Arabidopsis thaliana: one gene and its partner. Each later gene encodes a partner of the first gene's protein in a complex. Each region holds a gene or a part of one and is shown on either strand. Other genes may lie near its edges.

The links.
Region 2: PTAC7 (region 1) and PTAC14 share a complex: the UniProt entries of both Arabidopsis thaliana proteins name them as parts of the transcriptionally active chromosome (TAC) complex.

What each region holds. Positions count from the first base shown.
Region 1 is NC_003076.8:8,276,060-8,279,987, forward strand, and holds PTAC7 (plastid transcriptionally active7), read left to right. Parts: upstream 1-1,640; 5' UTR 1,641-1,690; coding exon 1,691-1,732; intron 1,733-1,813; coding exon 1,814-1,861; intron 1,862-1,939; coding exon 1,940-2,023; intron 2,024-2,704; coding exon 2,705-3,040; 3' UTR 3,041-3,135; downstream 3,136-3,928. Other genes in the region: ABIL3 (ABL interactor-like protein 3), read left to right, coding at 1-9, 90-266; AT5G24313 (uncharacterized protein), read right to left, coding at 1,047-1,292; AT5G24316 (proline-rich family protein), read right to left, coding at 3,214-3,366, 3,446-3,553, 3,651-3,691, 3,801-3,876. UniProt on the Arabidopsis thaliana protein: Essential for chloroplast development, especially for thylakoid formation. Involved in plastid gene expression, probably by maintaining plastid-encoded RNA polymerase (PEP) activity.
Region 2 is NC_003075.7:10,877,064-10,882,863, forward strand, and holds PTAC14 (plastid transcriptionally active 14), read left to right. Parts: upstream 1-1,753; 5' UTR 1,754-1,850; coding exon 1,851-1,907; intron 1,908-1,962; exon of another isoform or gene 1,963-2,023; coding exon 2,024-2,179; intron 2,180-2,592; coding exon 2,593-2,730; intron 2,731-2,777; exon of another isoform or gene 2,778-2,812; coding exon 2,813-2,938; intron 2,939-3,022; coding exon 3,023-3,151; intron 3,152-3,251; coding exon 3,252-3,341; intron 3,342-3,429; coding exon 3,430-3,580; intron 3,581-3,686; coding exon 3,687-3,796; intron 3,797-3,871; coding exon 3,872-3,943; intron 3,944-4,036; coding exon 4,037-4,142; intron 4,143-4,226; coding exon 4,227-4,421; intron 4,422-4,512; coding exon 4,513-4,634; 3' UTR 4,635-4,989; downstream 4,990-5,800. Other genes in the region: VSR7 (VACUOLAR SORTING RECEPTOR 7), read left to right, coding at 1-52, 137-297, 455-536, 627-709, 801-864, 963-1,091, 1,177-1,280, 1,378-1,482. UniProt on the Arabidopsis thaliana protein: Essential for chloroplast development, especially for thylakoid formation. Involved in plastid gene expression, probably by maintaining plastid-encoded RNA polymerase (PEP) activity.

The DNA of each region.
Region 1 (3,928 bases):
CCTAAACGGGTAAGCTTCGGTTACATTTCAAAAACACTCACTTCTAGGCTCTATCTCTAACGGTTGATTCTTGATATTTTCTGGCTCAGTATCCGTCAGAACCAAGAAGATCGGCTTCGGTTCGGGTTGCGTTCGAGAAAGAAGCTCAGAAAGAACCAGAGCATCAACAACAACCGAGCAAGAGCAAACGGCTGCTAAAGGCGCTACTTAGCCGACGCAAAACAAAGAAGGACGATACGCTCTACACTTATTTGGACGAATATTAAACCGAAAGCTGGTTTTGTATGTTGACTGGTAAACCGGAAATTACATTCCAGTTTTAATTGCATTTACGTAATGTCAAATTGTCAATATATGTGTTACAAAATATGTCCATGATTCTATGATTTTGTGTATACCTTATGACTGTCAGAGTGTGAATGCAGTTTTGTTTACAAGCGTAGTAAAACTTGCTGTGAATTATTTTACTGCCGATTTTAACCAAATTAACAGCAAGTTTATATATACAATTTCGTTCTCGAAATATTATTTGACAGTTTAATATATATTTTGCATCAATTACTGTTGCAAGAATAATTATGTTTTTGAAACTTTTGCTTTTATTTATCCAGTTTTTGAAATTGATTAAGAATGTTTGAGACTAATCCTCCCTTTTTTCTTTTTTTTTTTTTAAGCCGTGGTAATGTGGTATTCGTTCGGTAAATCTACCTATTCAAAAAGATAGTATCATCGACTTTTCTGTTGTATTAACTTACCATTTACAAATATTACATTAATTAATTTGAAACAAGTCAAATTTATTGTCACCAAGAATGAAGTACACGTATACAGATAAAAATAAAGAAGAAAAAAACAGAGACAACTTTTCCGGAGATTTTACTTTAGAAAGCAAAGAAAACTAAATCAAACCAAGCCTTCAAAAATTAGGTAGCTCTTATAAACCGGATCATAAAACCAAACATCAAAACATATGTATGCTCTTTCAAAACATGGTACCAACTCACGAGTCTTTTCATCAGGGCCGATTCTCACCATCACTCAATGGTCTAGACACCATCAGTTTGGGGTTCAACTTCTGATCTTTTGGGTGGTGGTGGAGGTGGTGATCTGTCGTAATGCTCAGCAACAAGTGAACGATGAGAAGAAGGAAGAAAAACCTGACGAGACTCCATCGATGGAAAATAAGATGATGGTACATTATCGTCAAGAAGTTTCCGGTTGGTTTGAGCATGCCCGATCATGATCATAGCTAAGAGAACACAACATATTAAGAGATGATTCCTAGAAGCCATTTTCTCATCCGGTGATCGATAGAGTTAATTTCTTTGCTTATCAACTATGTTGAGGTTCCATCTTGTAATGTCTTATGTATATACATAGCTCACAAAGTCACAATAGAGGGTTCCCACTAACTATTATTAGATTGATTGATTTCTGAAAAATATTATTTTTGTGTACCAAGTAAAATTATATGATTTTAGATTTGTTGTTAGTTTTGATTTGTTTTAGATTTTTTTTTTGTGCAAGTTGAATTATTATTGTATAGATAAAATGACGAGAAAAAAAAATGCCCGGTTCGGTTAGGAATGATTTGTCCAAATACGAACACAACCAAAGATAAACCATTAAACCGAACCGGAGAAGCTTACATATAAAATAGGATCCGGTTCTATCTATTCACTGTGTATCAATGGCTTCCTTCACCTGTTCTTCTCCATCTTCGATTTTACCTGTAAAAATCCCTCCTTTGCTTCTCTCATAATCATCCTTTGATGTCAATGTGATTTCTCATTTTCAATTATTGTATATTCAGATTATTGATACGAGAAGTGGGAATTTGCGATGCACATTTCAGTCTCAGGTTTTGAATGGTTGATATATATACGAATTTGTGGGTTTTTGGGGGAGAGTTTTGAGTGAATCTGGTTGATTTTTTCAGGTTTCTTGTGGGATTCAGAGAGATGATAATGGACGCCGTGTTTGGCGGAGGAGAACATTGGTAAGTACTAAACTTGATATTTTGGTGATTTTCCAGTTTCATGTTTATGACATAAGTCGAATCAGGAATCAAAATAAGGGTTTTTCTTTGCTTGGAGACGACATTTCTAAAAAGTTGCAATTTTTAGTAGGATCACAGATTAGCTTTAACTCACTGATGAGGCATGACTATTAACTCTAGTTAGTCTTTACTTAGTCATAGTAATTGATATGATGCATAGAAGGAGAGATGGAGATTGTCTTCTCTGAGTTTTTGCGATTTCTAGTTTACCCTTCTTGATTCCAAATTAGCTTACACACCTGTTTCAAAAGTGTCTTTGTTGAACTATGCTCATTTCAGACGCTAGCTTTAGTTCTTATACTGTTGATGAACTTAAAGAAACATGGCTTTTTACCTCTAGTTAGTGTTTACTTATATATATTCAAGTAACCATGGTCTTATCTCTATGGCACATGCAAGAAATTGGAGATTGTCTTATCTGAGATACTGGGATTTTTAGGTGGGAGTTACACATTACATAAAATATTAGTGTGATCTTTTTACTTGTACTATATTCTACAAACTATCAGTTTCTGTTGTTTGATCCTATCAGGTTCATGAGGTTTTGAGATTTCAATAATTACCAAAGCCAGAACAATGCAAAATCTTTGTTTATATTTGTCCCGCTTTTAATCTCTCTATGTCGTTCTCCTGTTTTGTCTGTAGACGAAGAAGGACGATATGTTGCGTTACAAAATGCAAAGAGTTCCATTTGTGGAAGAACAAGTAAGGAAGATAAGAGAAGTTGGGAAGGTAATGACAATGGACATAGAGCAGCTTCTTTTGAGGGAAGACAATCGGTTTGAATTTGTCAATAGCGTAGCAGCTGAAGCAACAGAGTACGTGGACAAGAACAGAGACGAATATGGAGGTTCCAAAAAAGCCATCTTTCATGTTCTAAGCAACCGTGTGAACGATCTCGGCTTTGATCGCCCTGAGGCTTATGTAGAAGCTGATCCTTACAAACCCGGTCCTGGCTATTTGTTGGAGTACTACACTTGATATATTATAACAAAAAGTGTCAATGTACTTTACAGCTTTTGTTCTTGTATTACCAAAACCAAATCAATGCATTCACAGCTTTGTTGTTTTCTTGGCCAAATTTCATTTTATTTATTTAGATTTACTAGATGAAGACGAAAGTCTAATGACAAGAGTTTAGTAAAAGTAACGGTCTAGTGATTTGTGGTGAAAGGAGGTCGTCGTGTCGGTGGAGGAGGAGGAGGAGGTACATATGGCATTGGTCGTTTTGGGATTGGTCTTGGAGACCAGTCCCCATAGTCTTCTTTGTTATAGACAGTTGGTTCCTTTGTCACAACCTCATCAACCTTTCAAAACCAAACTCATACACTATTAAAAAAGGAAGACACTTTTCGTAATACTTCATTTTTGCTATAGGGCACGTACTTGTGTTCCTGGAATTGTAGGGTCGGATGGCTTGGGAGGTCTTAGATGCGGCCCAGCGTAGTCCATCTCCAGATCGATTCTTCTTCCATTCATGACCATCTCTTTAACCTTTTTAAATCAACAAGTTTTATATCTTTTTGTTTTTAGTTTTGATGCATATTTGTAATCAAATATATAACGCTTTTAGAACCGTGATTGTTAATACCTTGCGGTTGATGTTGTCATGATGCAAAGTCTCAACGATCCCTAACAAAAATATGAAGCATATTTATTCAATTCGGAGTTCTATATTGACCTATATAAAATGTTAAAGCTACTATAAGTTTGCATATGTTAGTTGATCAGATCTATATACCTGAAGAAAACATTGGGAGAACGAGCAAGAAAGATACTAGTATCACTAGCTTCATCCTTAAGTCAGATTCTCTCATTTTTGTTTTGTTTTGGTGATATGTGAATTGATTTTTATAGTATAAGTTGAGA
Region 2 (5,800 bases), on another chromosome or scaffold:
GGAGATGTTACGATATTGCCAACATTAGTCATCAATAACGCTCAATATCGAGGTTTGGTACTTGATATTTTTTCAGTTTCACTCTCTCTTTATGAAGATGCTGAAGTTTCTGTTGTTATTGGTTGCAATTGTGAAGGGAGATTGGAGAGAACCGCGGTTTTAAAGGCGATATGCGCTGGTTTTAATGAAACATCGGAGCCTGCCATTTGCTTAAACACAGGTCTAGAGACAAATGAGTGCCTTGAAAACAATGGTGGTTGCTGGCAGGATACAAAAGCAAACATCACTGCTTGTCAAGTATGTCGTAAAACCGAGCTTACCACATCACATCTCACCACTATATTGAATATCAGTATCAATTTGTTTGGAATTGTTTTGAAAACTAGAGAAAATGTGAAAATCTAGAGAGATATTTTCTAGTCCTATAATACTTGAATCTTTTTTGTTTGATCAGGACACATTCAGAGGAAGACTCTGCGAGTGTCCGGTTGTAAAAGGTGTTCAATATAAAGGAGACGGGTACACTTCATGTACACGTAAGTTGTTCACACATTTCACACAACATAGCTCTCAAATGTTGAGACCGGTTTCTTGAATAGTCTCTGGTTTGTGATTGAGCTTTGCAGCTTATGGGCCTGCGAGGTGTACTATGAACAATGGAGGTTGCTGGTCTGACACAAGGAACGGCTTAACTTTCTCTGCTTGCTCAGTTTAGTGATTCTCTTGTCATAAGCCAAACCCTCCCTTACAAAGTTCTTGTTTTCAGTTCAATCATCTCTTTGTTATTTATGAAAAATTAGGACTCTGTATCTACTGGCTGCAAATGTCCTGAAGGTTTCCAAGGCGACGGTTTGACGTGTGAAGGTACATAACTCTTAACTTATCGATTAAAATCTCGAAAGAAACCACATAATCATATTACCAACAATGTAATTATGTTTTCTGATTTGGCTCTATTGCAGATATTAACGAATGTAAAGAGCGTTCGGTATGTCAATGTAGCGGTTGCAGATGCAAGAACTCATGGGGTGGATACAAATGCAGCTGTTCTGGTGACCGGCTTTACATAAACGATCAAGATACTTGTATAGGTAAAATTTTATCAATCAAGATTTAAGAGTACTCAAATTCCATAACAGTATCTAATTAATATACATTGATGATTGTTTGTTACAGAGAGATATGGATCCAAAACGGCATGGTGGCTCACATTCTTGATACTGGCTATCGTTGCAGTAGCCGGTTTAGCTGGTTATATATTCTACAAATACCGGTTCAGGGTACTACTACTCTTTCTGATTCCACAAAAGCATTTTTGTACTTAATAACGGTTTTAGGATTACCAAACTAACTTTTCTTTGGTGTTCCTATTAACAGTCTTACATGGACTCAGAGATTATGACGATCATGTCACAGTATATGCCACTTGAGAGCCAAAGAGCTCGTGAAGTTCCATCAGAAGCCGAGCCTTTTACACTCTAATAGTATATGACCAAAGTAACCAAAACTGTCATACACAAAGAAATGTTTGAGATCAATTAATGTACATATGAATTATACTGTAAAAATAAAAGAGTGAGATAGAGTTGTGTATATTTTCATGGCAAAAAAATAAATAATTTGGATGTAAAGAGACTTTTGAAGAAAATAAAACAAATATTGCTTTCATTGAGAGTTGAACTCAAGACCTCCCGCTTACTAAACGGGTGCTCTAACCAACTGAGCTATGAAAGCTTCTTGCAACATATTATTCCAAATAAATTATATCGTAAACTAAGAGTTAAAATCTTGAAAACAAAGGATAACGATCTTCGTCTCCCTCTGCTAAACCCATTTTCTTCTGTTGAGGAATGGCTTCTTCAGTCTCTCTTCAGTTCCTGACCAACACCTTTATCTCCAAACCTCAGGTTCTTAATCTTATCTCTCTGTATCACCTAATGTTTCTATGTCATGTGTGTGTGTGTGTGTCTGTCTTTGTCTGAATTTTCTGAGTACTCCTCATGTTTTTTCCGGTCGGACAAAGGGTTTCTGCAACGGAATTGTGTCAGCACCAAGACCCAGAAGCAATTTATTAAGAGACAGACAAAATGGTGTACGACCCATCAAAGTTGCGTCTATTGAGACACAACCTTTCCCTCTGTTTCAATCTCCTGCTTCCGAAGAATCTTCCTCGTCCGAGGTTAGGATTTTCAGTTTTGAGTGTTTTAGGGTTTATAGAGTTCTAAAAGGCAGTACCTTTGACAATTCTTTGCATTGCCCCTATCTGGGAGATTGATTTAGAGTACAAATGAGTTCTAAAGGTAGTACCTTTAGACAATTCTGTTCATTGCCCCCATATGTGATATTGATTTAGGGTACATATGAGTTCTTAAGGCAGTAACTTTAGACAATTCTGTGCATTGCCTCCATCTGTGAGATTGATATAGGGGACTTCTTAAGGCAGAAACTTTAGACAATCTTGTGCATTGCCCTCATCTGTGAGATTGATGTAGGGTACAAATGAGTTCTAACGGCAGTAACTTTAGACAATTCTGTGCATTTCCCTCATATGTGAGATTGATTTAGGGTTTTTGTCTTTTGTTTCTTCACTAGCTGGAGACAGCAGATCCGGATTTCTACAAAATTGGCTATGTTCGAAGTGTGAGAGCTTATGGAGTTGAGTTTAAAGAAGGTCCAGATGGTTTTGGTGTCTATGCTTCTAAGGATATCGAACCTCGCCGTCGAGCTAGAGTCAGTCTTCTTAGTTAAAAAGTTGACAACTTTTTGTTTTGTTCTTCTCTTTAGATTATTTTGTTTTCTTTTCTCTCTGCAGGTGATTATGGAGATTCCTCTTGAACTGATGATAACCATTAGACAGAAGCACCCTTGGATGTTTTTCCCTGATATTGTACCAATTGGTCATCCTATTTTCGATATCATTAACTCGACTGATCCTGAGGTAGTAACACATTTGTGCTATTTCGATATCATCAACTCGAAAGTTCTTATCTTTCTCAAAGTCCTTTCACATTTGTGCTTACAGATTGATTGGGATATCAGATTAGCGTGTCTTCTGTTATTCTCTTTTGATCGAGATGATCACTTCTGGCGGCTCTATGGCGATTTCCTGCCGGCTGCTGATGAGTGCAGCAGCTTGCTTTTAGCTACAGAGGTGGATTGAATTGATATGATTGCCATTTGAAACTGGTCACATTTACTTGTGTCTTTAAACTAATGCTTGATGATATCTAATTCTGTGTGTTTTTCTATAGGAAGACCTTGCGGAGCTTCAAGATCCTGATCTTGTTTCAACTATCAGACAACAACAGAAACGAATCCTAGATTTTTGGGAAAAGAATTGGGTAATGAGGCCTTATATATGTGTTTCCAGTATATCTTGACATTTGGTTATTGCTTTGTTTTTCATTGGCAAATTGTATTCCGTCTCAGCATTCAGGTGTTCCTCTCAAAATCAAAAGGCTTGCCGAGGATCCAGAAAGATTCATATGGGCGGTTAGTATGGCACAGACACGATGCATCAGTATGCAAACTAGGGTCGGTGCTTTGGTTCAGGAATTAAATATGATGATTCCTTATGCTGGTAAGGAAGAGCATGTTGTGTAGTTATTGATAAATTAAGATTTAGTATCAATGAACTTTTTGTTGAGGAACTAAATAAGAATCTCACGATTGATCATTCTCTGCAGACATGCTAAACCACTCATTTGAACCAAACTGTTTCCTACATTGGCGTCCTAAAGATCGCATGCTGGAGGTTATGTCAAATGCTGGTCAAGACATTAAGAAAGGCGAAGAGGTAAGAGACTCAAATGTTCCTAAGTGTCAGCCTCACTTCACTGCTTTATCTATCTTCTTATAATGCTTTTCACAGATGACGATTAATTACATGCCAGGCCAGAAAAACAACATGCTTATGGAAAGATACGGCTTCTCAACTCCTGTGGTAATGCTTTTTACGACAATCACATTCATCTTACACAAACTATGTTTCCTTTGCAAGTTTTCTCGTTTATTCAGTTTTTCTGGTCTGCTGCAGAATCCGTGGGATGCTATAAAGTTCTCTGGAGATTCTCGCATCCATTTAAATTCCTTTTTATCGGTCTTCAATATTTATGGTCTTCCTGAAGAATATTACCATGACAGTAAGTTCCTTTTCTTCTGTTTCCTCTCTATTCCTTGACAAAAGATGGAGAAATGAGCACCAATGTTACCTAAATCTGTGGCAGGCGAGTTATCGAGGGGCGATACTTTTGTTGATGGAGCAGTTATCGCTGCAGCAAGAACATTACCTACTTGGTCAGACATAGATCTTCCTCCAATACCGAGTGCGGAAAGAAAAGCAGTTAAAGAATTGCAAGATGAATGTCGAAAGATGCTTGCGGAATATCCCACAACAGCAGAGCAAGACCAGAAGTTGCTAGGTATTACACTAAAGATATATACACCAATGTGTTATTATCTATTATCGCTCATATACTAAAACTTAAGCTTTCCCTCTTGTTGTTGTGACAGATTCAATGTCAGAAGCAAGGACAACATTTGCAACAGCGGTTAAGTATAGAATGCACAGAAAGATGTTCATCGGAAAAATTATCAAGGCACTTGACATCTATCAAGAACGGTTACTCTATTGATTCAAGCAAAAAATAATTATGAGCTGAGTGAGATTCATACTTGGTGCTCACTCCCTTGAGCTACTTAGAAACTGCACCATGTAATTGAAAGGTTCCTGTTTTTTTTTTTGTTTAGTGTAAGGTTATGTATTTGTATGGAACAGTTAGACTAAGTGTGTTAGTTTGTTTTAATCGCAATCACAAACAAATCATAACCTCTTCTTTTCTTGGCTGCTTTAATGAGTTTGATTAGCCAACAAACGCTTTGGAATCATCTGTGTTTTTTTTTTCTCTTTTGATTAATTCATGTTCATGTTTTTAGTCCCTAAGCATGATTAGTGTCTCAAATGTTTTAGGGTAATTGTGTCTCTTACGCCGAACTATAATGTTGATTAGTCTCAATAATTGATTATTACTTATACTATTTATTAACCTTGTGGTTACACTAATCAATCAAATCATATTGCGTTTCTTCTACTCTTTGTCTAACATTACTATTTTCAAAAAAAGTTACGGTCCAAACCAAACAAACCTACTCTGAGTTATACAGAACCATAAGCAATCTATTTCTTACCTTTGGCTACTTATTTGATACTTTACATTGACTAACTTGATTCTTAATAATTATCTTCAATATGTTGAATATTTTATTTTTGAAGTAAGACCACTATGCGTTTCATAATTCTTGCCATGCATAATGAAATTATTCCTTTGAATTTAAGATTAATTAAAGTATAAATCAACCAAACAATAGACAAAAAAAAATAAAAAAAAATAAGCATCTTGATCTTTTTGGTGGATCGAAGATAATTCCTTTGTCTCATTCTTTTGGATTTAGAATCTCGTTCAGTAGAATATTAACATTTTTAATTATAGATTATCAATTATCGAACAAGTTGTTGTACGTAAACTTGATTCGATCTAGCGTTATTACAGTCAACCAAAATTTATATAATAATAACAATTTATGAAAATGACAATATTATTCGATGTATTATTCCTTTTTTCCTATAATTAGATAGGTGTGATTAAATTCAAGCTAGATTCCGAATCGACAACAACATATTATATCTATTATTAACCTCAATTTTTGAAGGCAAAAAACACACGAAATTATTCAAAACTCACGAGTTGATTCTTTACTTCGATGAACATATAAATTGGGAAAGTATCACCGAACTTATTTG